Linked DNA regions of Oryzias latipes. The protein of the gene in region 2 purifies or fractionates together with the protein of the main gene of each other region. This does not show direct contact. Links are inferred from orthologs where the notes say so. Each region holds a gene or a part of one and is shown on either strand. Other genes may lie near its edges.

Region 1 (4,627 bases), on a different chromosome or scaffold from region 2:
CTGGCTGAAATCCACCTGAACATGCTCACTCTGGGTATGTCGGTTCCAACAGACCGGATATTGGTGTAATTATGCTCGACTTGGTAACCCTGGGTTAATGCACGTGCACAGCAGGTACGTACAGACATTCTCAATGGATCGCCGATTTCCAGAGTCACCATGGAAACGCGTGGAGAAAAGAGAGAGCTATGCTTCAGTGAGACGGAGTCTGAGATTTTAATGACGGCAAATGAAGATTATACGACCATCAAAAAAGTAATACGGCTGCATCATCAGCAAAAGAAAGAGTTTCTGCTTGTAGTAGAAGAAGAACAAAGTAAACGCACGAGTTTCTGATCTTATTTCCATTGTGAGGCATATAACTTATCCAACTTTAATTAATTTAATTGGTTAAAAGTAATTTATTCAACCTAATTTCTTACGTCTATCAAACTAAATATTTTTTTACAACTCAAATTTACATATTTATCTAACTTAATGTAATATTACTCCAATTCAATTAAAGTTTTCCATCTTAATTTATTGTAATTCTTGAACTCTCATGTCTAAATTTGAGCCTGCATTAAAATGACTTGAACAACACAAGGCAGATTTGATACATTTGCATATATAAATAAATAATCTCTGAATTTATCAATACTCATTGCTCAGTGCTATATAAACTCATCCTCCTCTCCCTCCCTCTCCCTCAAGTTGCAGAACTAATTAAATATAACGGTACAAAAAACTCGGTAAAAAACAGTAAAACAGCTAAACAACTAAACACATTTGGTCAAAAACCCACACTTAGACCCAAATCCGTCCAGACAGGCAAAGGGAATGATATCCCAGAATCCCTTGCGGTGCCAATCTAACAGCAGCACCAAAGTTACACCTACTTGATTGAATTACTTTAAATGAAAGTAAAATAACTGAAAACTACGTGTTATTTTTAAGCTGAATTAACTAAAAATAATTGATTTATCTTAACTGAAGCAAATAATTAAGTTAGATCAAAGTAAAAAGTTTATTTTTCCAACATCCATACGTGGTCTTATCACCCTCTCATGGTGGAAAAAGTATTATCTGAGTTTCTTCATCCACTAAATCATCTTCAAATGGACACGCCATGCTGCTTCACCTCTCTGAAAACAAACTAACTTTCAACTAAACCTGTTCCAGACCAGGTTATGTTCAGAGCATGAGTTGCCATGGCAACTTGACCTACCCTGAAACATCACTGTTTTTGGAACCAAAAGCGGTGGTTGTACACTTCCTTAGCCTCAAACTTACCCCGGGAGCTAGCATAACCTGCTCTCTGGAATACCCCCCAGAGAGGAGCACATCAGAAGGTAAGAGAGGTGTTCAGGACACAAATGCCTGGAAATCCCAAAACTAGAGCAGGAACTGCGACTGCAGAGCGTCTTGAAGGTCCAGATCAGTGGAAATAAAGATTTAAAGGCAAAAATGATTTGCTTTATGGAGGAAAACCATTTCCAGCAAAACCTGGAAAAAGCTTCTCGGTCTTCAGTCCAAAGAACGGTTCCTCACCAAATCCAGCACTCAAAAAGCCGTCTCATGGTCACCCACCTGAACACTGGACACTAAACACTGAAGGGTCTCGTCAAACTCCCCAGGGAGGCTCTAGTGGTTGATGAAGCTCCTCAGCAGCAGCTAAAGCAGGAAGATTTCAACCAAAACAGTCATTTCTTCTCCAGTAACCGTCAGTCTGCTCTCTAGAGCCGTTCCCAGAGACAGAGACTGCTGTGGAAAAAAACACGCTTCAATAAATCCACACATGACGCGTTCACAGGCATCCGAGTCCTTTATGAAAAGTGACAGAGCAAGAAAACGGGACTTAAAAAAAAAGGATTTCTATCCAAACTGAACACCTCCAAAGTGACGATTCTCTGGTTGGAGTTCCCAGATTGAAATGATCATCTACCCTTTGAGGAGCGCGTCTCACACTGGAGTATAAAAATAAGAGGCTTGACTGTAAAAGTAGCTGCCACATGTCAGGAAACAACATCTCAGAAGTATGTACATGGTTTCACCCAGACTTAAACGACAGAACAAACATGTAAAGCTGAGGAAAACAGAAGCTCTTTGGTCTGAAATGAAGCATTTCTGTGGAGTCTCTTCGTCTTTCAGGACGGCCCTGATCTTCCACGTATACACCAGGCATGATGGTGGCTCCGCCCAAAGCGAAGGCGCCGCCGATCGATGAGCTGCAGATGGAAATGCCGATGGAGAAAAAGGGATGTGTCCATGCAAACATGAGGGAAAAACGGCTCCGCGTCTCCATTTATGAAAAATAACTATATATGAAACATATAAAGACGATTAGTGCTTTGTTAAACCAGAACTGTTTCCACCTAAATCTGTGCGAAGCCTTCAGTCTGTTCAGAGCTTCTGTTTATCTGCACGTCTGCCGTCTCATTGGCTGGACTGTGTGGTAATGTGTCTCTGAGGCACTCCTCTTCCTCTGCCGCCGCTTCTGCTCCGTCCTCCTCTGCATCGCTGTCGTCCTCCACGCCATCCACGCTGCCCTCCGAGTCCTCGCTGTCGCTCCCACAGGAGCTGGACGTCTCGTCGTCAGAGTCGGAGTAGACCTCGGCTCCGTGGAAAATGTACCGGTTCGGTGCTTGAAAGAGGTACTGGCCCGCTGTGGAGAACAGCAGAGGGTCCGTTAGGACGACAACGTGACGTAGAGAGAAAGGACGTTTGCTTCAGTAAAGATGGCGTCCAACTGGGGAGCGTTTTTCTCGTGGAGGCGTCGGGCTCACCTTCCAGCCGTTTGCTGATCGGACTTCTGTTGATCCGACTCATCCAACATCGTTTCCGTACTTCCAGCGTTGAGACTTGGCTCTTGAACGCGTCTGCCTCCTCCGTGGGCGTGTCCTCCACCGGTCGTTCTGGAGACTCTGCCGCCTCCTTTTCAGGGCGTGGCTCCGGGGGCGTGGCGTTTCTCTGAGCGGCGTCCGTGTCCTGCGGGCTCTCCGCCTCCTCTGAAGGTTGGTCTGCGGTGTCGGTAGGACGGGCGTTCGGCTCGGCATCGCTGGAGGTTTCGTTTGGAGGCCTTTCGGGTAACCGGGGGGGCTTCTCTGTGATCTCAGCCAGTCTTAAAGAGTTAAAGCAAAGCGGCTCAAAGTCTCCACCCAATCGATGACAAAGCTCGTTGACGATGCCGTCACAGTCCCCGAGCAACTCTACGTCGAAGTTCAGGTGAGGCAGCGGCTCCCGGTTGATCAGAACCTGAGGCACTTCATGAGGAATGGAATCTGCAGCAGACAAGACAGAAGGGGTCACGCCAAACCCCCAGGAGGGGTGTCACCTGTTAGTCCGGTCCAGACGTACTTGGGATGAGGGCCACGGGTCGGACTTTCAGGGAAGATCCGATGACGATCAGGAGGTCCACCTCATCTTTGTCCTGCTTCATAGCTCTGTGGAACATCTCTGGGAGGTTCTCTCCAAAAAACACAATGTCCGGTTTCATGATGGCCAGAGGAATGTCCGAACAGCGCGGACACCGAGGAACAACCTGGAAGGGGTCGGCACGTTAGTTCTGTTCAAAGGACCGTGTCTGACAGAACCGGAGTCCATAGATCCGCTTCAGACTGCGGTTCATTTACACACGACAGACCGGACCAAACAGAGTTAGGAGGAAGGTCACAGAACAGGGAAGCTGCCCGTCTCAGAAACCCAACAGAACATGGAGAACGTCTGCAGAACCGGGTCTCCAGCAAGTCTTTTCATGGCCCCAAAGAATCTCATGGAGCCGTTGGTCGTTTCAAACCCCTGCTTCTTATTTTAAAGACACACTCCAGTAAAAACGGTGGTTTGGGTGTTTCTAACATCTTCTTGTGGAGTTTTCTCATGATGGAGGACATTTATAAAGAAAATTAAGATCAATCTGCATTTCTAAGAACTGAATTTCCACAACAAAGTCGTACATTTTCTCCACTGTGGTGCGGTGCGCCTACGGCGTTGTTGTTCAGTAAAGAGGACGTAGGAGAGGACAGCATGAGAACGGTAGGGACGTGAAAGAAGACTTCTGATGAACTGCAGCCACTCTGCAGAAACTATGTCCTGGAAAATGACAGGTTTTTTGATTTTGGCAAAGAATCTAAATGAAAGGACCACTGGGAACGATTCACAATAGATCAGAAGCTGATCGGAGCGATCTCCACCAAGTATTCATACAGGAAGTTAAATGATGTTTGAGACATACCTGATTAAAAATGTCCTCCCTTATAGCCTCACAATCCACTTTGTGTTTACAAACGAGACAGGAAGCCGTCGCAAACGATCCTGAAAGAAAGACGGGATTCGTGGATCGTCTCCAGAACACAAATGTCCAGAAGACGAGGCGGCCGGCGGCTCACCGTGACACTGGATGATTTTCTGCACTCCAGCCACTTGTTCCAGCGTGTCGATGTTTTGTGTGTAATTGCGCAGCAGCTTCTCCTGCTTGTCCAGCATAGCGATAAATCTGTGGCAGGGAGACGGCTGGAACTGCCCGGGGAAGATCTCCTGGAACACGTCAACAAAAACAGAAAACGTTTGCAACGGATCCTCACAGCGGGTTCGGTTCTAAACCAGACCAATGATCCAAAGCTGATGATCTGACATCAAAAAGGAAACGAAA
Region 2 (5,415 bases):
TTTGTACACTTTAATGTACAGATCATGTGTCGCAATATTCGGTTATTTGTAATAAAGCCTCTGTATGCTGCTGGTAATTTAAATTCAAGCAATATACAAAGAGAAAACAGTAAGTGCATGGCATAAAATGAGGAATTTTAACTTCTTTGAGGTTTGCAAAGTGTCAGTATTGTCTGCTTTTGTTTATGCAAGATTTGTACGCCGAGTAAAACCCTCCTGTCCCGTCTCTTCATTTCACCAAAACGCAATATTTTTGTACAGACAGGTATGATCCAGAAACACATTATAACAGAAAACCCAAAAAAGCAAACACTGAACATATAAAATCACAAACAACAGAAGGATTTTTTTGTCGTTTTCATCATTAACACACTCCAGGTGGATTAGATGTACACAATATCACTTCTTGACTTTTGTCGCCTTTTCACCTTCAGCTGAAAAAAACAGTTTCTGTCTCTGCTCCTTGAAGTCCATGTTTGACCACTTCTACTGCAGATTTTATTTTACATCAATGCCAAAGGAAAGTTGCATGTTCTTGTGGATTTTTTGTGATTGTTTCATGTAGCTTTGTGATGTTGTTTCAAAAGAGGTTTTGAGGGATCGTGCAGCATCTCTAGAGTCTGTCGGATCGTTTATGACTGACCAGTACGGGAGCGAAGGTAAAGCTCGTGAGAGGAAGTCTTCTTCTGTAAACACAGGGTTTGTATTTTACATTGTGCTGATGGCAGGTTTGGCAAAAGGATGCTGTGTGTCTGATCTTCTCACGGAACAAACAGGTGAAACCTGGAGAAATACGTAAAAAAATAAGTCTTAATAATCACACCATGTTCGGAAACACAATTATTTTTCTGAGCTGGAAACAACTACTTTGATAAACTTTTCAATGCAGAAACTTTACATCTGTGATGCCAAAAAGTGTGACTAAATGTAAATATTATAAATATGCCCTCAGACAACAACATGGCTACAAAATCACTTACATCATACCAAATCTGCTGCTCCATTCTCAGCCAGGTACCCAGCTCTGAGAGCTCTGCTTGGTGCTCGTGAAGTTGCTTACTCCGTTCATGTTTACCAGAGAGTCAAAGTTAAAATCCAGGCCATCTGCATCCATCAGGTCGTTTCTGATGATGGAGTCCATGTCACACTCCAGGCTGCCGTTGAATATGTCCAGGTCCAGATCGGTGGGGAAGCGATCCTGAGAAACTCCTCCGCTGCTGCTGACGGTGCCGTTAAGAAAGATGGAGGGGTCGATCTGCATGGTGGACGAACCATTTCCTCCTAATGGTGAGAGCAGGAGCTGCTGTTTAGCATTAGCCAGAGTATTAGCCTCGTTGACGAGGTTCAGACCTCCATTTCTTGACCTCATGGAGCTCTGGTTTTGGTTGTTAGTTTGTAGCACGTCCCTCTGGCTGGCTTGAATACCTCCACTGGTCCCAAAGGTCATCACAGGATCGTTACGGAGGATCAGACCACGGCGGGAGTTTTGGGAATTGACAGCAGCTGAGCTGGCTTGCGACATCAAAGGGTCAGACTGGGTCATCATCACATCACTATGGTTGTGACTACCAGAGTTAAGCAGGTCTTGTAGTGTTTGGCTGCCAAAACCAGACATGCTGATGCTGGAGAAAGATGTTTGCTTGTTCTCCTGGATGGTTTGCATTGGGGAGGAGCGCAGAGAGGAACCTATTGCTTGGGAGCCAAAGATGGAGTTACTGTAACCATTACTTCCACCATTAGATGAAGAGTTGGACGATGGAGAGGATGTGGAGGAAGTTAAGCTTATTCCATTGGATTTGGACCCAAAAGTGAAGCCTGAAGAGCCATTTTGGAGGTTCTGGCTGGAGGAAGGTGGTACCAACTTGATGTTGTCAAGCAAATCGTCCATCAGTTCATCTGTGATTCCATCATTCAAGTTCATCGTACCTGTCAGGTCCGCTAGGCGGGGCAGCTCAGCAGGGGCTGCTTTCCCGTTGGATATGGCATTTCCAGGAGACAGCGCCCTGCCAGGACTGGAGTAGATCATGGGGGAGAGAGGAGCCTCATCATCGGGTACTTCGTCAAGTTCAGGGTTGGCCATAATGGGTGAGAGGTGGCCACTAACAGTGCTGGCATTGGAGTTGGTGCGAGAGCGGAAATCTGTCCATCCACCATCAAGCTCCTCTGTGCTGTGGGATGTTGGACTCCCAGGCCACCTGGAAAGACCTGAAGGACTGTCTCCACCACCTTCACCTGCTGCGGCAGCAGCAGCCTGCAGTGCAGCCTTTTTCTTAGCAGCACGACCACGGGCGGACTTGGTGTACTTGTTGCTGTTGTCCATGGAAACAGCCCGACGTCTTGGAGCCTTGCCGCCTTTTCCTCCTTCCGGATTGATCATCCACCAGGAACTCTTTCCTGTCCCTTCGTTTTGGACGCGAATGAACCGACTGTGGAGGGAGAGGTTGTGCCGGATGGAGTTCTAAGAAACAAAAACAGAAAAAGAGACTTTTTAAATAATGGCTGCTAAAACTCTGGGTCCAAAAAACATCAGTTGATTCTACTTAATATTACTAGAATCAACAAACATATTTTAAGGACAAAGAAATTTGATAAAACATCACTTCTTTTGTAGCAATGTAAACACTTTCCATTCATTACTGATTTAAATGAAGCAAAAAGCATTTTCCTCTAATTGTATTTAGCACTGATGTCTGCATTAACTCCTCTTAAGCTTTTGTTCTATGGATATGCAGAGGAAAAAGAGACAGTGGGCTGTAGTCACACACTTTTTCTGTGTCAAATGACACAAACAGAGTCATTGAAAGCTAGATTGTGCCCTTTTGTGTTTGTATTTCGTCTAGTTTGTGTTTATCAACTCCATGCTGATCTTTTATGAGAATCTAAGAGGTTTGTTGTGTAACTGCAACAAAAGTTATATTCACAATGCAGATGTACGCACACATAAAAAAATACACAGTTGGATCACTTGTTGTACAACTGCAGATGTTGTTTACGCAAAGATATCAGATGGGTTTTTGTTCATCCTTGATATTCATTGTGTTGCACATTTGGATGGATAACAGTTTTTTTTTTTCCTATTTTTTTTTTTACTGTTTTTAACTTTTACTTTTTACTGTTACTTTTACAGGTTTCCAAACTTGTTTCTTCAAGTCCTGTCCTGATAAAAGTGATAAAACTTGATCAAATAAAGGAATTCGGTTCTTGAAATGAATCTCTTCCCTGAATACGGCATTCTGACCCGACTCTAGCTTTGATTTAAGTCTTTATCTCCGTCTCCCAAAAGTGTCCATGAGGCCTGGACAGTTCTTTAATTTTTTTCTTTCCGTATTTTCTCTCCCCCTCTATCTTCCACAGTTTCTGTTGTTTCACAAACACATAGCTCTTCTGGCCCTGGTGTGACTCTGGGGCCACGCTTTACCCCCTCATATAAACAACCACCATCCACAATATGTGAGCATTTTTCTGTCTGTTTTCCCTGTCGTGAATATTTTTACTCGCTAAAAGGCAGCAGATTTCTGGGTTCGAGTACCAGGTTGCTATTTTGTTTTGCGTGAAAGAGTGCCATCACTTGTGTCCAACAGTTTGCAGACGAACGGTCAGCTATGTTATTCTGGTGAGTTTAATCACAGGGCTTAAGTTACATGTACTTATACACATCGCTGGCATTAAGTTACATTTTTAGCAGTCATAGCAGGCTGAGAAACATGTCTTTAGCACTAGTGATGCAATATAAAAGTTATTTCTGATGTATTATGCATTAAAAAAAATCCATAAATTGTGCACAGAATGAAAAGTTGCGACTTCTGCCCCATAAAGTAACATAAGACAAAACACCGGAAAGACCAGTGTTTATCCTTTGCATGCATCTCTTGAGGCATGACGCAATGCGGATTTATTATCAAACTTGTTAAAGACACCCAAATGCAGACTTGGTCAAAATGCTTCCAGCTGCCAGGAAAAGGCGAATGACGGCAGAAAATAGATCTGGTTAGGGAATAAAATCATGGTGGGAAGAATGAGAGGAGTGTAAGTGGAATGTGAGTTTCCTTTCTCTCACCATCACCTGCCAGACCCTCGAGCATTCACAAATCCATTTATTCCTCCAGTCAGCCCTCATCTCTCCCAGCAAAGCCACTTGTTTAATGTTTCCCTTTTCCATGCCACTCCTCGCATCCTTCAAATGTCAAGTGAGACATTTCATAACCGATTGCGAAGGAGCAGCAATGAAAAGGAAACAGGACATCTGCACCCAGAGCCTCGACAGTGATGGAGCGAGAGGGAAAAATTGAGTGCCAAATGAAAGCGAGAGTGACGGATGGTGAGAAGACGATGAGAGGAGGGAAGAAAAAAGAACATTTCAGAAGGCCATGTGATGGACAGTATGTCTCCAGCACCACTTGTATCAGATCCTCCCACATAGTCCTTCTTGAAAACTTCATTTCAAGTCAAAAATGAATTCATGAGTATATAGTTTAAGCACATATTTACAGAATATGTATATTTTTGTGTGTACATGGCACTTCATGACATCACCTGATAGTGTTTGCTCACTACTGTAGCTCCTCTTGGGCATTCTCAAAAGCCCATTAATAAAAACAGCAACTGAGGCAACAGCGCTGATTCATAACACGTAGCCAAGAGAGTTAAACACCAAAACACACACAAACACAAGAAGCACACACACTGTACAGCCAGTCAGAAAAAAGGATGACTCATTGAGAATTTCTTAAACCTTCCTTTTTCCCTCTTGGTTTGATGAGAGGATGAACTTCAAACGTCAACAAGCCAAAGTGTGTCTCCTTAATAATGAAAGAGTGTGTCCGTTTAAACTCAACAAAGACTGACAATAGGGACACCTGTCGCCTGGCAACTGAGCTGCGATAACACTGCAGACTGAGAACATGAGAACATGCTCCTTTAGTGACATTTCTGGAAATGTTCTGTCCTGTACAGTGGAACAAAATAAGCTGAACATCAATGTGCAGATGATTTTGGAAAGATGAGTAAATCTCTGCAGGGGGGTGATTTTATTCAGGCAATATTGCGGTAAAAATGGGCATGTTTGCTGTCAATCCCAAGCCTGATGCAGTCTAAATGAAGAAACATTTTCATATTAAGGTTTAACACTCTCAGGTCGTGTCCGAATTCCCTCACTACTCACTAACTATAGGGTGTTGGTCATATTCTATAAGTTCAAAATCCAGTGCCTTGGAATTTTCCCAGAAGTCTCTGAGAAAAACTATTGGACATCGATGCTAAATGGACTGGCGAATATAAACCAAAAGGCATTGCAATTGAAGGATTTGTCTTTTTTTTAAAATATATAAATTTATTTATATTAATTCATTCAAATTTGTATCATTAGAACTCAGAGGACTCATAAATAGTTTTCGTAAAATGTTCATTTTTGTTAGG
Region 3 (4,922 bases), on a different chromosome or scaffold from region 2:
TACATCATGCAGCATGTTGATAATAACCCTGCAGCATCATGCATGTCAACATGTGTTCTATTAATAAAGCCCCTGCAGCATTAAAAGAAAAAAAATTATAATACTTATCTGTGAAATTATATACTTCCTCCTTCATGGACTCAGTTCTCTGATTTTAGCAGTTGAAACACAAACAATGAACTGGTATTATGCAAAAAATGTGTTCAAATGCATTCACTGCAGCAGTAACTTGACCTCACCAAGATGGCGGTGCTCTCCTCCCATGAGGAACCACGTGATGTCTACTCTAGTGATATAACTCATTGGTCACAATTCACACACACACATTCACACAAGATTTTATGCCAAATCCTGCTTGTGTAATCTGGACACAATGAAGACCCAGAACCTGCAGCTTTGAATTGATAGCTCAGCAAAGGGGTATTTTTTCTCATCCAGTCAGATAACCTCCGATACTGAGCTAAATAGTGTGTTGCTTTAACCCATTCTAATGAGAAGCACTTTGAAGGAAATAACTAGTTGATGCTTTGCTGATTTTTAGGTTTGCCCCTTTAAAAATAAGTTGTCTTTCATTCTTATGGTAGGTTCATTTAAACAGTGAAAGATGGAAAATCAAGAAATCCACTTCAAAGAATTTATATAAAATTATTTGCATTTCATTGAAGGACAGAATTATTTGAACCACTTGCACTACATTAAGCGCTCTGGCTCACATAGACCAGTTAGACTCTCATAACCAACCTGCCACTTGGATGCAGACATCTAAACTTATTACCTGTAAAAAAGACACCTGTCCACAGAATCAGTCCGTCAACACCAGCAGTTATCCGGTTTTAATTTCTTTGATGCTCCATCAGTCAGTCAGAATCCAAACTGTCCAACATGGAAAGACTAAAGAGCTTTTGGTGGATTTAAAGGAGAAGATTGTAGACCTGCAAAAGACCGGAATAAACTACAAAACCATCAGTAGGAAGCTGGAGGGTTAAGGGGACAACTGTTGGTGCAACATGACCAGTAATCGGCCTAAAACAACAAGGCAGGAGTTAGTTGATGATCTCAAAGCAACTGGAACCACAGTCACACAGAAAACCCTTTGGAATAACATCTTTCAGAGCTGGCACAGTTGCCCTGCTTAAGAAGGTACATGTGCACGCCTGTCGTGTTTGGAGGAAGAGAAATGCTGCTGATGACCCCAAGAACACCATCCCCACTGTCAAGCATGGAGGTGGAAGCATTATGCTTTGGGGTGTTTTTCTGCAAAAGACTACTTCATTGTGTAGATGGGAGGATGGGCGGAGCCATGTACTGTAAAATCTTAAGTGACAACCTCCTTCCCTCCTCCAGGAGGCTCCAAATGGGGGGGGGGGGGGGGGGGGGGGGGGGGTGGATGGTTCTTCCCTCATCCCTAAGCTGGTTTTTAGTTTTCGCTATACACAAGGATTTTTTAGCTTGTTTTTTATTTTGACACAAAATGATGTGATGCCTGACCAACTCGGAAAGCAAAGCATTTTCAAATTAAGAGGAGACAAAAATCAATTCCATTGAATTTTTCCACTTCTTTTGAATCAAAAATAATGTGGAGTACTAAAGAACCTAGAGCACAAAAATAAGAAAAGTGAGGACAAAACTATATTTTGTAAAACTAGTGCCCTCAGAGGACCACCTTCCTTATCAAGAAGGAATGTTTTTCGGATATAACGTGCAGTTAAGAGTTTTAACCAAGCAGCGATTTGATTCAAAGGACGTCTTTAAAAATGCTTTAGGTGACATAAAAGACAAGAAAGGGTAAGAAAAGGGATTTTAATGGGTAGTTCATTTGCATTCCAAACCTTTGAGTCATCATGAATGAGCATTAGAGATATCAGTCTGATTACTACAAAAATATAACCTTTGTGAAATCCTCCTGCAGCATCATTGGCTGTTCGGTTCCTGTGCTTCAGACTCTAAAAGCAAACACATGAGAACAGATAACCAACAATCGCTGAAGGTAAAATCCATTAAAAAGGATCATTAAATGCTGACTTAGAACAGAGGCATAAAAAAAAAATAACAGCCTTAGGGAATTGGAACCACAAACAAGGCTCCTCCCATCATCCAACAATGACATAACACTGCTTTCAGCACCAACTAAAGCCAGACATTTGACAGCAAAAGGAAAACCGCTCACCGATTCCTTTCAAACAGCAGCAAAGAACAAAAGCATTTTCCGGTCATGCCTTGATCCGAGTGTCGTCCTTTTAAAAGTTCTAACATTATTAGAACATTCAACAGATTTAAAATGCTTTCAAACTTACTACACGTGGCTAAACCTTCAAATGTTTTCTAAATGACACAATTCTCTTTGAGTTTGCCAACATAGCATCGAGGACTGATGGGTCATTGGTACCAGAGAGATTAAAGCCTCGTCTAGAACTGACATGTAGATCCTGCTCTGCAGCTCAAACTGTCCCTTTAAAAAAACAAAACAGGACTGAGTCCGCGGTCAGAGCTGGAAGCTGAGGCGGCACTTCCTGTTCCACATGCTGCGGTCGCCGTGGGACCCCGGGAGTTTGCTGGCGGGCGTAGGGCGAGCCACACTAGAGAAAGGCATGGAGTTGATGCTGACGTGAGGCATCTCCTTCTTCAGAGACGGCAGCTGGTTGTCCTGCACGAGGCCGAAGACGTCCAGCAGGCGCAGAGAGGGCAGCGTCTGTCCCAGATCCCTGCAGGAAGAACACAGAAAGTTGAGTCTGCAGAACTTCAATTTGTTCAAACCAACCAGATTTTCACTTTTCAGCCAACAATCAGCATTTACACATTTCCACCCTTTTTCTGCAAAGAGCTTATATTTAAACAAAGAACAGAGCACATGATCCTATATGCATCTAAAGAATGATGAGTCAGGGGTTACTGAACTGTAAAGAGACAAAGCTACAGCCTTACGGCTTACTGTGACGATTACATTTAATCCCAATCAAATTTTAAAAAAGACTTAATTTTACCACCTACAGGTGACTGAAAAGAAGGACCAACTGAATATCCTGGTTCATGTTTAATGAGCATGGTCCATTGTGGTCCAATCCTCTCTCATTGCAATGATTCATTAGGACGGAGGACGCTGAAGATCCACCCTGCAGCTCCAGGTGAGGACTTACGTGAGAGCAGCCAGGTGAATGTGATAGCAGCGACTCAGGGACAGGTGCTGCAGATCCTTCAGCTGTTTGAGAACCAGGAAGCTGTCAGCCATCAGCAGGGTGCTGTCACTGAAACACAAAGACTTAGTGAAATTCTGATAGAGACAGAACTTAGGAATCCAGTTCATCTGAGGAGAACCCTTTACTTAAAGACCCACTCCAATTAAAAACTGTGTTTTTAAAATGTTTTTGTGGGATTTTTCTCATGATGGAGATATATAAAGATAATTAAGCACCAACAAATCCATCCACAACTCAGAGGTGGATTTCTATATAACTGCTCTGTGTCCTAGAGAACCACACAGGCTTTTGATTGTTGCTAAAAACAGCATAAGCGTACTTAAAAGACAACTGGGAACCCTTTTACAATAGATGATCGGAGTGGGACTTTAATGAAGAGCAGTTCTGAATGAACGCATCTGGTGTTTCTGTTTCTCTGGGCTGGAGCGGGACGGTACCTCAAATCCAGGTGTTGAACTTCAGGACATCTGTCAACCAGGATCTTTACATCTGTAAAACACGCACGCCATTCCCATCAGTGACAGCAAAAAGATTTCATGATTATTCCCAGAAACTATCACACTTGGCATTGCAGGAAAAGAAAATTGAAAATAAAACTAAAAAAATGTAATGCATAGAGTTTGGTCACACTTCCATTTCCCCCTGTATGCATTATCACCTTGAGTTTAAATGTAAAAATAAAGAAAGAACTTTACTAACAGGGGTCCTGATTACAGACTTTGTGGAAATCAGATCCGATTAAAAAGGAAAACACTAAACTATAACAGCATTAATCATTTGAACAGCACTAACAGGCTTTATGTGCAGACTGGAGGATTTGAAGATGGGCTATGGGCTCACTGGGTGATCTACAACCTTGACGTTATGTGCGGGCCCCCCCACATGCTCCATATAGACCCGTGAGGGCAGTTGTGACTAAGCTATAACAGCTTGTGTTGTCTGATTTCTGTTTCCATCCTCTGGATTGGTTGGTTAAGCAAACAAAGCCTCAAACAGCTTTGCTGTTGTAAAAACCAGTGTGATCAACCGTCAGTCGAATTTCTCCTCGAAGGCACTTCTGATGTAGAACTGATGGAGGAGTCCCCTTCCTATGGAATCAGGTTTCCACGGCTTACCGTCTAACGTGAGGCTCTCTCTGTACCCGCTGATGTTCAGGCTGACGACTCTGGGGCTGACATTACTAACAACACTTTTCACGTGGTCCTTGTTGAAGCCGCACCATGAAATGTTTAGCTGCTCTATCCTGCAAAACAAAACCCACGAGGACACAATGACAACACTAATATAGCATGCAAAATCAACTCATCACATACATGAATTAGTTTACTTTATTTTTAAGTTTTGTGCGTTTTTTTAGAGGCGTTCACTGACCTGCAGCAGGACTTGAGCATGTCAGCCAGAACAGAAGCAGAGAAGCCGGAGCAGCCGCTCAGGTTCAGCTGCTGCAGGCCGACGTTGTTCCCAAGACTCCTGCAACAAAGAGTTTGACATGAGTCTGATGACCAAACCAACCGTGAACGGCAAAGTAGCACCCGGAGGCCTTGAAGAGAAGCTCGACTCTGAAGCATGGTGGATATAAACCAAACTACAACCATTTGTTCACCTGATGATGTTGTCTGAGAGCTGCAGACCCTCCAGGCTCAATCGCTCCAGGCGGAGACAGCGGCAGGTGATGCTCTCAAGAGCTGAAATGGGGATGATGGAACTGGACAGGTCCATGTCCAGCAG
Region 4 (5,415 bases), on a different chromosome or scaffold from region 2:
ACGGAACAGCTCCTCTTAAGAGCCTTGCTCAAGGGCATTACAGCAGTGGAGCAAAGGCTTTTTTACTTTACTATGACTTTTTCAAGTCAGAATTGGGACTTGAACCAATGACCAACCAGCCAAGGGTTCATGTCAGTGACCAGTAGGCCAGCCCTCCACACACATCAGCTGGATTTGTAACCCGTGACTGTTGATTTTCTTTCTCCACGTCAAAGCGCGTCTGCAGCCTCTGTCAGGGTTACTTAAACAAGAGTTCAAGAACAGAACGTTTAGCAATTTCTGAGAACTTTCGTTCCAAAATGACCTATTGGCAGACCCACTCTGATGTAAATTGTGTTGTGTTTGTAATCATGGCGAATTAGGAGCAGAAATACAGTTGGCGAAAGCCTGTAGAGGTGACATACAAGCTATAATTAGTGGGCAACAAGCTCCCTGCTCTGCTCCATTCTGATGTATCCACTTGCAGACAAATAGATCCATGAACGTCTTTGTTTTCCTCGTCTGAACTGTTATCTGCTCCAACATTGCTCCCCGTTTTTGTTGCATCTGCAATGTTCGGTTGGGGCTGTAAGCTAGTGGGAGAAAGTGTAATCAGATGGATGACGGGAAATAGGGGCGGGCTTACTTTGCACCAATGGGGTTGCCCTCAATTCAGAGGTAAATTTCTAATGAACTAATGTTTTATTTGTTTTTTTTGACTGAAAATCCTCATTAAAAGAGCAGTGGGGATACTTTTACAATAGATCAAAGAGGATTGGAGTGGGACTTTAAATGAGGCCGTACTTTGACCAATAAGGCAGAAAGACAAAAAATACGATTTGAAGCTTGATCTTGAAGCGTCTTTTGTCAAATGTGCTACATTCAAAGTGGACTGATCTTCATGTCTTTTACATTTTTTGCTGTATAGCTGTTTATATTTGATATGCTTCTTTTTCTAAACTTTCTCCTTCTTGAATCTTTACGATTCTTTTGTTCTCTCTGACCTCAGAATGGACAGGACAGACTGGAGCTGATAACGAGAACAGTGGGATTGAACTTTGATGATTCAGGGTTTGGATCCAGATGTTTCACATTTTTAAGGCAGAAATAAAAAAAATTTGAACAAAGGGATTAAACTGCTGGCTCTGTGTTAAAAGTCTCATCAAGCTAAAGGATGCAGAAGTTTTGGAATCAACTGGACAGCAGCTCACCGGATACAACACAAATGCTTCCCAATGTCGGCTCCTTTAAAGTATTCATTCATGTGAAGCAGTTTTTAAACTGAATGACAAAAACGTGGAGGGACAAAGGAGTTAAAGCAGATCTGTAGTGAAAACAGAGAAAGGTAGGTGGAGGTGGAGTGGAAAGAGGCCTGTCTGATCACGTAACCTGAATCCTGTTTTTTAAGTGTCTCCACATGTCAGCGTCTGGTCTGGACAGGAATGAAGAGCAGCCGCTTGCAGCACAAAACTCTCCCTTGTGGAAATCTCTCACAGGCCCAACTTTCGGGCCGATCCTTCGCTTCTCTTTAATTACATTTCCTCCTCTCGTACTATCAGTGAGTCAGACGGTGCGAAGAGTCAGACTGTGTGGAAAACAGAGCGCCAGAAGAGGGAAAGTCTGACATCTTTTTGACACAAAGCATGTGTGTTTAAAAATAGTCTGTTTCGACAAGCGCGGCTTGTCTACTGAGGAGACTTCCCTGACGTCAGCCGCTGGATTCACCAGAGTGTGAGAAGGTGCCCGTGAGCGAGGGCGGCAGTATCTTGTCTGTGTTTACTCAACTGTTCTCTCAAGGGCCTCGTCTTTGCTCATCAGCACCGTTTAATGCTGAAATTGCAAAAAGGTGAACGGCTGTCCTGCATCCCACCTGTATTCGGCTCCCCAGCCCTTGACGAAGCTCATGCGGATCGTGCACATCCTGGTAAGCTGATACACAGCCTCAAAGCCCTGGTTGACGGACTGAGCCAGGAGGGCGGCAAACTCCTGGTTGTTGAAGATCTTCAGGTTACATCCTGGAGGAAACACAAGGAGCATTTCTATCATAAACAAAACTCCCTCTCACTTCTGAAGCTTTTGATCATATGACAGTAGATAGAATTGTGGTTTCTAAACTTAAAAAACCCAAAAACAAATCAACCAATAAAACAAACAGACCACTGTGCAAAGGGAAAAAGATGTGTATTTTCCCCCCACAGTGGATGTTAACAAGAGAAACCGGCCTCAGTGTAGTGGTGCGGTAAGTGATGTGGGCTCCTCCAGGCACAGTTGTGATGACACAACTAGAGCACATATGTTCCAAATCATCCAGATTACACAATCAACTTTACCGTAATTATTCAAAATTTAGAAAAACTCCCAGCATTCCAAGTTTCATCGTAAATGTATAAAAAAAAAAACTTTCAGGATGACTGTTTTAGGAGGCAGGTATGTGAGTTTTTTCATAACTTTCACTCCTCTTATTATTGTGTTGAATATTTATCTCAATTCAGGCACAAACAGAACCGACAAACTGTATTTTTCGGAGTAAAAGTTGTTTTGTTTTTTCCCCAAACTTTTGACAGGAGTGCGACTTGTATGTGATTTTGTTTAAACGTAAATGAGGCTAAACACTGGATGGTGGCTCCTCCCACACATGACCAGAGCATCTAGTTTATGAACACATTTTTGGACAAGCATTGAGGTAATGAATTTGAGGCAGCAGACGCAAATTTGAGGCGTGAATCGCGTTTGGTGTGAACGCAGCATTACACTGGGCTTAGCGGATTTGTTCAGAAGTGTCGCATCTTTCTTCTAAAAGTCCGACTTATACTCCAGTGCGACCTGTATATAATTTTTTTCTTTATAATGCATTTGTTCGCTGCTGCAACTTATACTCTGGAGCGCCTTATTGTCCAAAAAAATATAGTAATCATTCAGGCACAGACCTAACCACCATAAATGCTACAACAAGGACCAATCTTTGCTGCTACTGTTCTGAATGAGACAACATTCCTTCTTTGGTGTTGACCGAGTTATACAGTCTATTCTAATCATAAACAGTCTTATGTATTAAAGAACACGGTCTGGTCAGTGATTCGTGCTCACATTACGTCACCCTAAGCCACAGAGATGTATCGAACAAGCCAAAGCATTAATCATCACTCTTAGTCATAGTTCTCCTTCCATCTAAAAGTGTTTTCTTTTTTGCCTCCAGTCACCAACACGTTTTCAAACATATTATTACTACTCCAGCAAGATGTAAGCGCGAGGGAGGCGCCCACATTTCTGTACTGTTATTTTATACTGAATTATGCATATTTTGCTGAACTTTTTGGGGGGTTACAGTGACCATTTATTACGTCCATCTGTTTATCATTATTTGCTTAACGAGTCACTCCAATGAAAATCGTGTCCTTGGTGTTTTTAACAAAACCTTGTCACATTTTTCTCTTAATGGATGACCTGTATAAAAGAATTTAAGATTGAAACTGAGTTGCTGAATATATTCTTATTTAAAATCGAGTTGGATCAGGAGCAGATGAAAACCGGATCGGAATCTTATTTTCTCCACTCCAATTCTAAATCATCCACTTGTAGACAAATAGATGCAAGTACATTTTCATTTCCTCGTCTGAGCTGCCATCTGCCTCAAAACTGTATGGCTCCATAGCTCCAATATTACTCACCTTTTTTTATTTGCTACACTAATGTTAGCTTGTCACTAACGGAAGAGAGTGTAAACAACGGCATGCTGGGAAATTAGTCCTGCCCACAACCCAAAAGCAAATTTCAAATGAGCTACTCCTGCTCTGCAAGAAATGTCTTAAAAGAGACACAGGCTTTTTGATTTGAGATAAAAAACTTCCTAATCATAATTAAAAGACCACTGAGAAGGATGTTACAATTGAAAACAATATAGTTGGAGTGGAACTTTAAAGGAAGTGTATGACTGCGGATGAGAGAGGTACAAACTTCTTTAAACTTTCCTAACGCTTCCTTATGCTCCCTTTCCCCTTAGTTTCTGCCTTCAAGTCACAAACCTGGAGGGATCTTGCAGACTGTGGCGGGGTGCCAACCATAACGCTGATTACAGTTGGGGCTCTGAACAAATATAGCGCTATCACTGAGACACTCCGCAAACACTTCTCCTCCGATGTAGTACAGCCGCACGCCCCGGCCTTGGAGACAAACAGGGAAACAACAGAAGTGTGAGAGGAAAGCCACGCCACGATGACATCAGCAGCAGCACAGACGTGAGAGTTTGATCAAATTTGAGAAAATAAATAAAAACCTCTGGTCTGGGTATGGGGCCTTACCAATGTGTCTGCGCGTTAACTCCACCGCCGCGTTGCGGTTGACGTTGGACAGTAAACCAAGGCAAAAGCGCTCAGAGTTGGAGGGGTCTGTGAATCCGTCCACTGTCAGGGAGGGCTGTGAGGCGTGGAAGGTTTCTCCAACTCGTTGGTTTAGTTCGTAGTAAGAAATAGAGCACCAAAAAGCCGGCTCACAGTATGTCACTGGCTGAAGGTCTTAGTGGGAGAGACATACGTACAGTTGGTTTACATCAAAGCAGAACAGAAGAAAGGCTAAAGAAAACTGACTACTGTAGGGATTAACATTCAAAATGTAAAAGACATCTGAATGACAGGCAAATTATATGTTAATAATAAACCACGTGTGCATCACACACACATGTGAATGAAGGAAGGAAAACTGAAAAGAAATTACTACAAAGAAGAGGTAAAACTAGCAAAATACGGAGAAAAAAGAACCGAAAATAGAGGATGTGTCACAAAATGTTACACCCATGTTTACCCGAAACCTTCAGCAGACAAAAGGAGGGAAGTCAGTCACTGATGGGATGCCAGAAAACCAAATAGCTGAATGAAACGCTAATCTGTGGCTGTTTTCACTAAGTTCAACTGGTTCTGGTCATTTTCTCCGCAGCATGGAACAATCTTTAATGACTTCTCCATCTTGCCTTTGAAGTCCAGAGGAGAACTCGTGTTTTTGAAACCGGAGACTTTTTGTTACTTCGTCAGAAAAGTCTCTTTGGAATTTTCCCATTTTAACAGAATAAGCGCAGGATCTTGTTATTAGTGTTAGTGTGGGTTAAGTGGTGTCTTGGCCTGTTTAACAGCTCAGATGGTGAGCGGGAAGACAAAGGTTTCATTCATTACCTAGTTTCCTCTAACAAAAACGATGCTAAACCAAACAAGAGAATTCCCACTGGGGAGGAACACTCCTGAAAGATTTTCCACGTAAGTAAAGACAGACAGGTGGAAAAGGAAAACACACGTCAACACATTCACACAGTTACCTAAATTACTGTGTGTGGGTGAAACAGGGTTAGGGGACAGATTTGGGGAGCTTGTGTCCATGCTGTGGGTCATCTGGTGATCACTGGTCTCCCCATCCTCGCTGAGGTAACCTGGTGGTGGCGTTTCTGAAACA

Evidence for each region. Proteins that work in one complex are often made in the same cells at the same time.
Region 1: the proteins of foxo3 (region 2) and sirt1 purify together in Homo sapiens (affinity purification with western blotting; 4 studies listed by BioGRID and IntAct, with this or other methods). This does not show direct contact. The link is inferred for Oryzias latipes from reciprocal best matches to the Homo sapiens genes FOXO3 and SIRT1.
Region 3: the proteins of foxo3 (region 2) and skp2 purify together in Homo sapiens (affinity purification with western blotting; 3 studies listed by BioGRID). This does not show direct contact. The link is inferred for Oryzias latipes from reciprocal best matches to the Homo sapiens genes FOXO3 and SKP2.
Region 4: the proteins of foxo3 (region 2) and mothers against decapentaplegic homolog 3 purify together in Homo sapiens (affinity purification with western blotting; 3 studies listed by BioGRID and IntAct, with this or other methods). This does not show direct contact. The link is inferred for Oryzias latipes from reciprocal best matches to the Homo sapiens genes FOXO3 and SMAD3.

The regions. Positions count from the first base shown.
Region 1 is NC_019873.2:29,797,273-29,801,899, reverse strand, and holds the end of sirt1 (NAD-dependent protein deacetylase sirtuin-1), read right to left. Parts: intron 4,513-4,627; coding exon 4,365-4,512; intron 4,291-4,364; coding exon 4,211-4,290; intron 3,521-4,210; coding exon 3,337-3,520; intron 3,261-3,336; coding exon 2,766-3,260; intron 2,645-2,765; coding exon 2,355-2,644; 3' UTR 1,786-2,354; downstream 1-1,785. UniProt on the Homo sapiens protein: NAD-dependent protein deacetylase that links transcriptional regulation directly to intracellular energetics and participates in the coordination of several separated cellular functions such as cell cycle, response to DNA damage, metabolism, apoptosis and autophagy.
Region 2 is NC_019882.2:7,571,756-7,577,170, reverse strand, and holds the end of foxo3 (forkhead box protein O3), read right to left. Parts: intron 2,459-5,415; coding exon 1,007-2,458; downstream 1-1,006. UniProt on the Homo sapiens protein: Transcriptional activator that recognizes and binds to the DNA sequence 5'-[AG]TAAA[TC]A-3' and regulates different processes, such as apoptosis and autophagy.
Region 3 is NC_019870.2:24,271,011-24,275,932, forward strand, and holds the end of skp2 (S-phase kinase-associated protein 2), read right to left. Parts: coding exon 4,798-4,922; intron 4,665-4,797; coding exon 4,566-4,664; intron 4,438-4,565; coding exon 4,310-4,437; intron 3,684-4,309; coding exon 3,632-3,683; intron 3,243-3,631; coding exon 3,135-3,242; intron 2,703-3,134; coding exon 2,483-2,702; 3' UTR 1,786-2,482; downstream 1-1,785. UniProt on the Homo sapiens protein: Substrate recognition component of a SCF (SKP1-CUL1-F-box protein) E3 ubiquitin-protein ligase complex which mediates the ubiquitination and subsequent proteasomal degradation of target proteins involved in cell cycle progression, signal transduction and transcription.
Region 4 is NC_019861.2:12,627,385-12,632,799, forward strand, and holds part of mothers against decapentaplegic homolog 3, read right to left. Parts: intron 5,408-5,415; coding exon 5,282-5,407; intron 4,491-5,281; coding exon 4,278-4,490; intron 4,140-4,277; coding exon 4,002-4,139; intron 1,995-4,001; coding exon 1,850-1,994; intron 1-1,849. UniProt on the Homo sapiens protein: Receptor-regulated SMAD (R-SMAD) that is an intracellular signal transducer and transcriptional modulator activated by TGF-beta (transforming growth factor) and activin type 1 receptor kinases.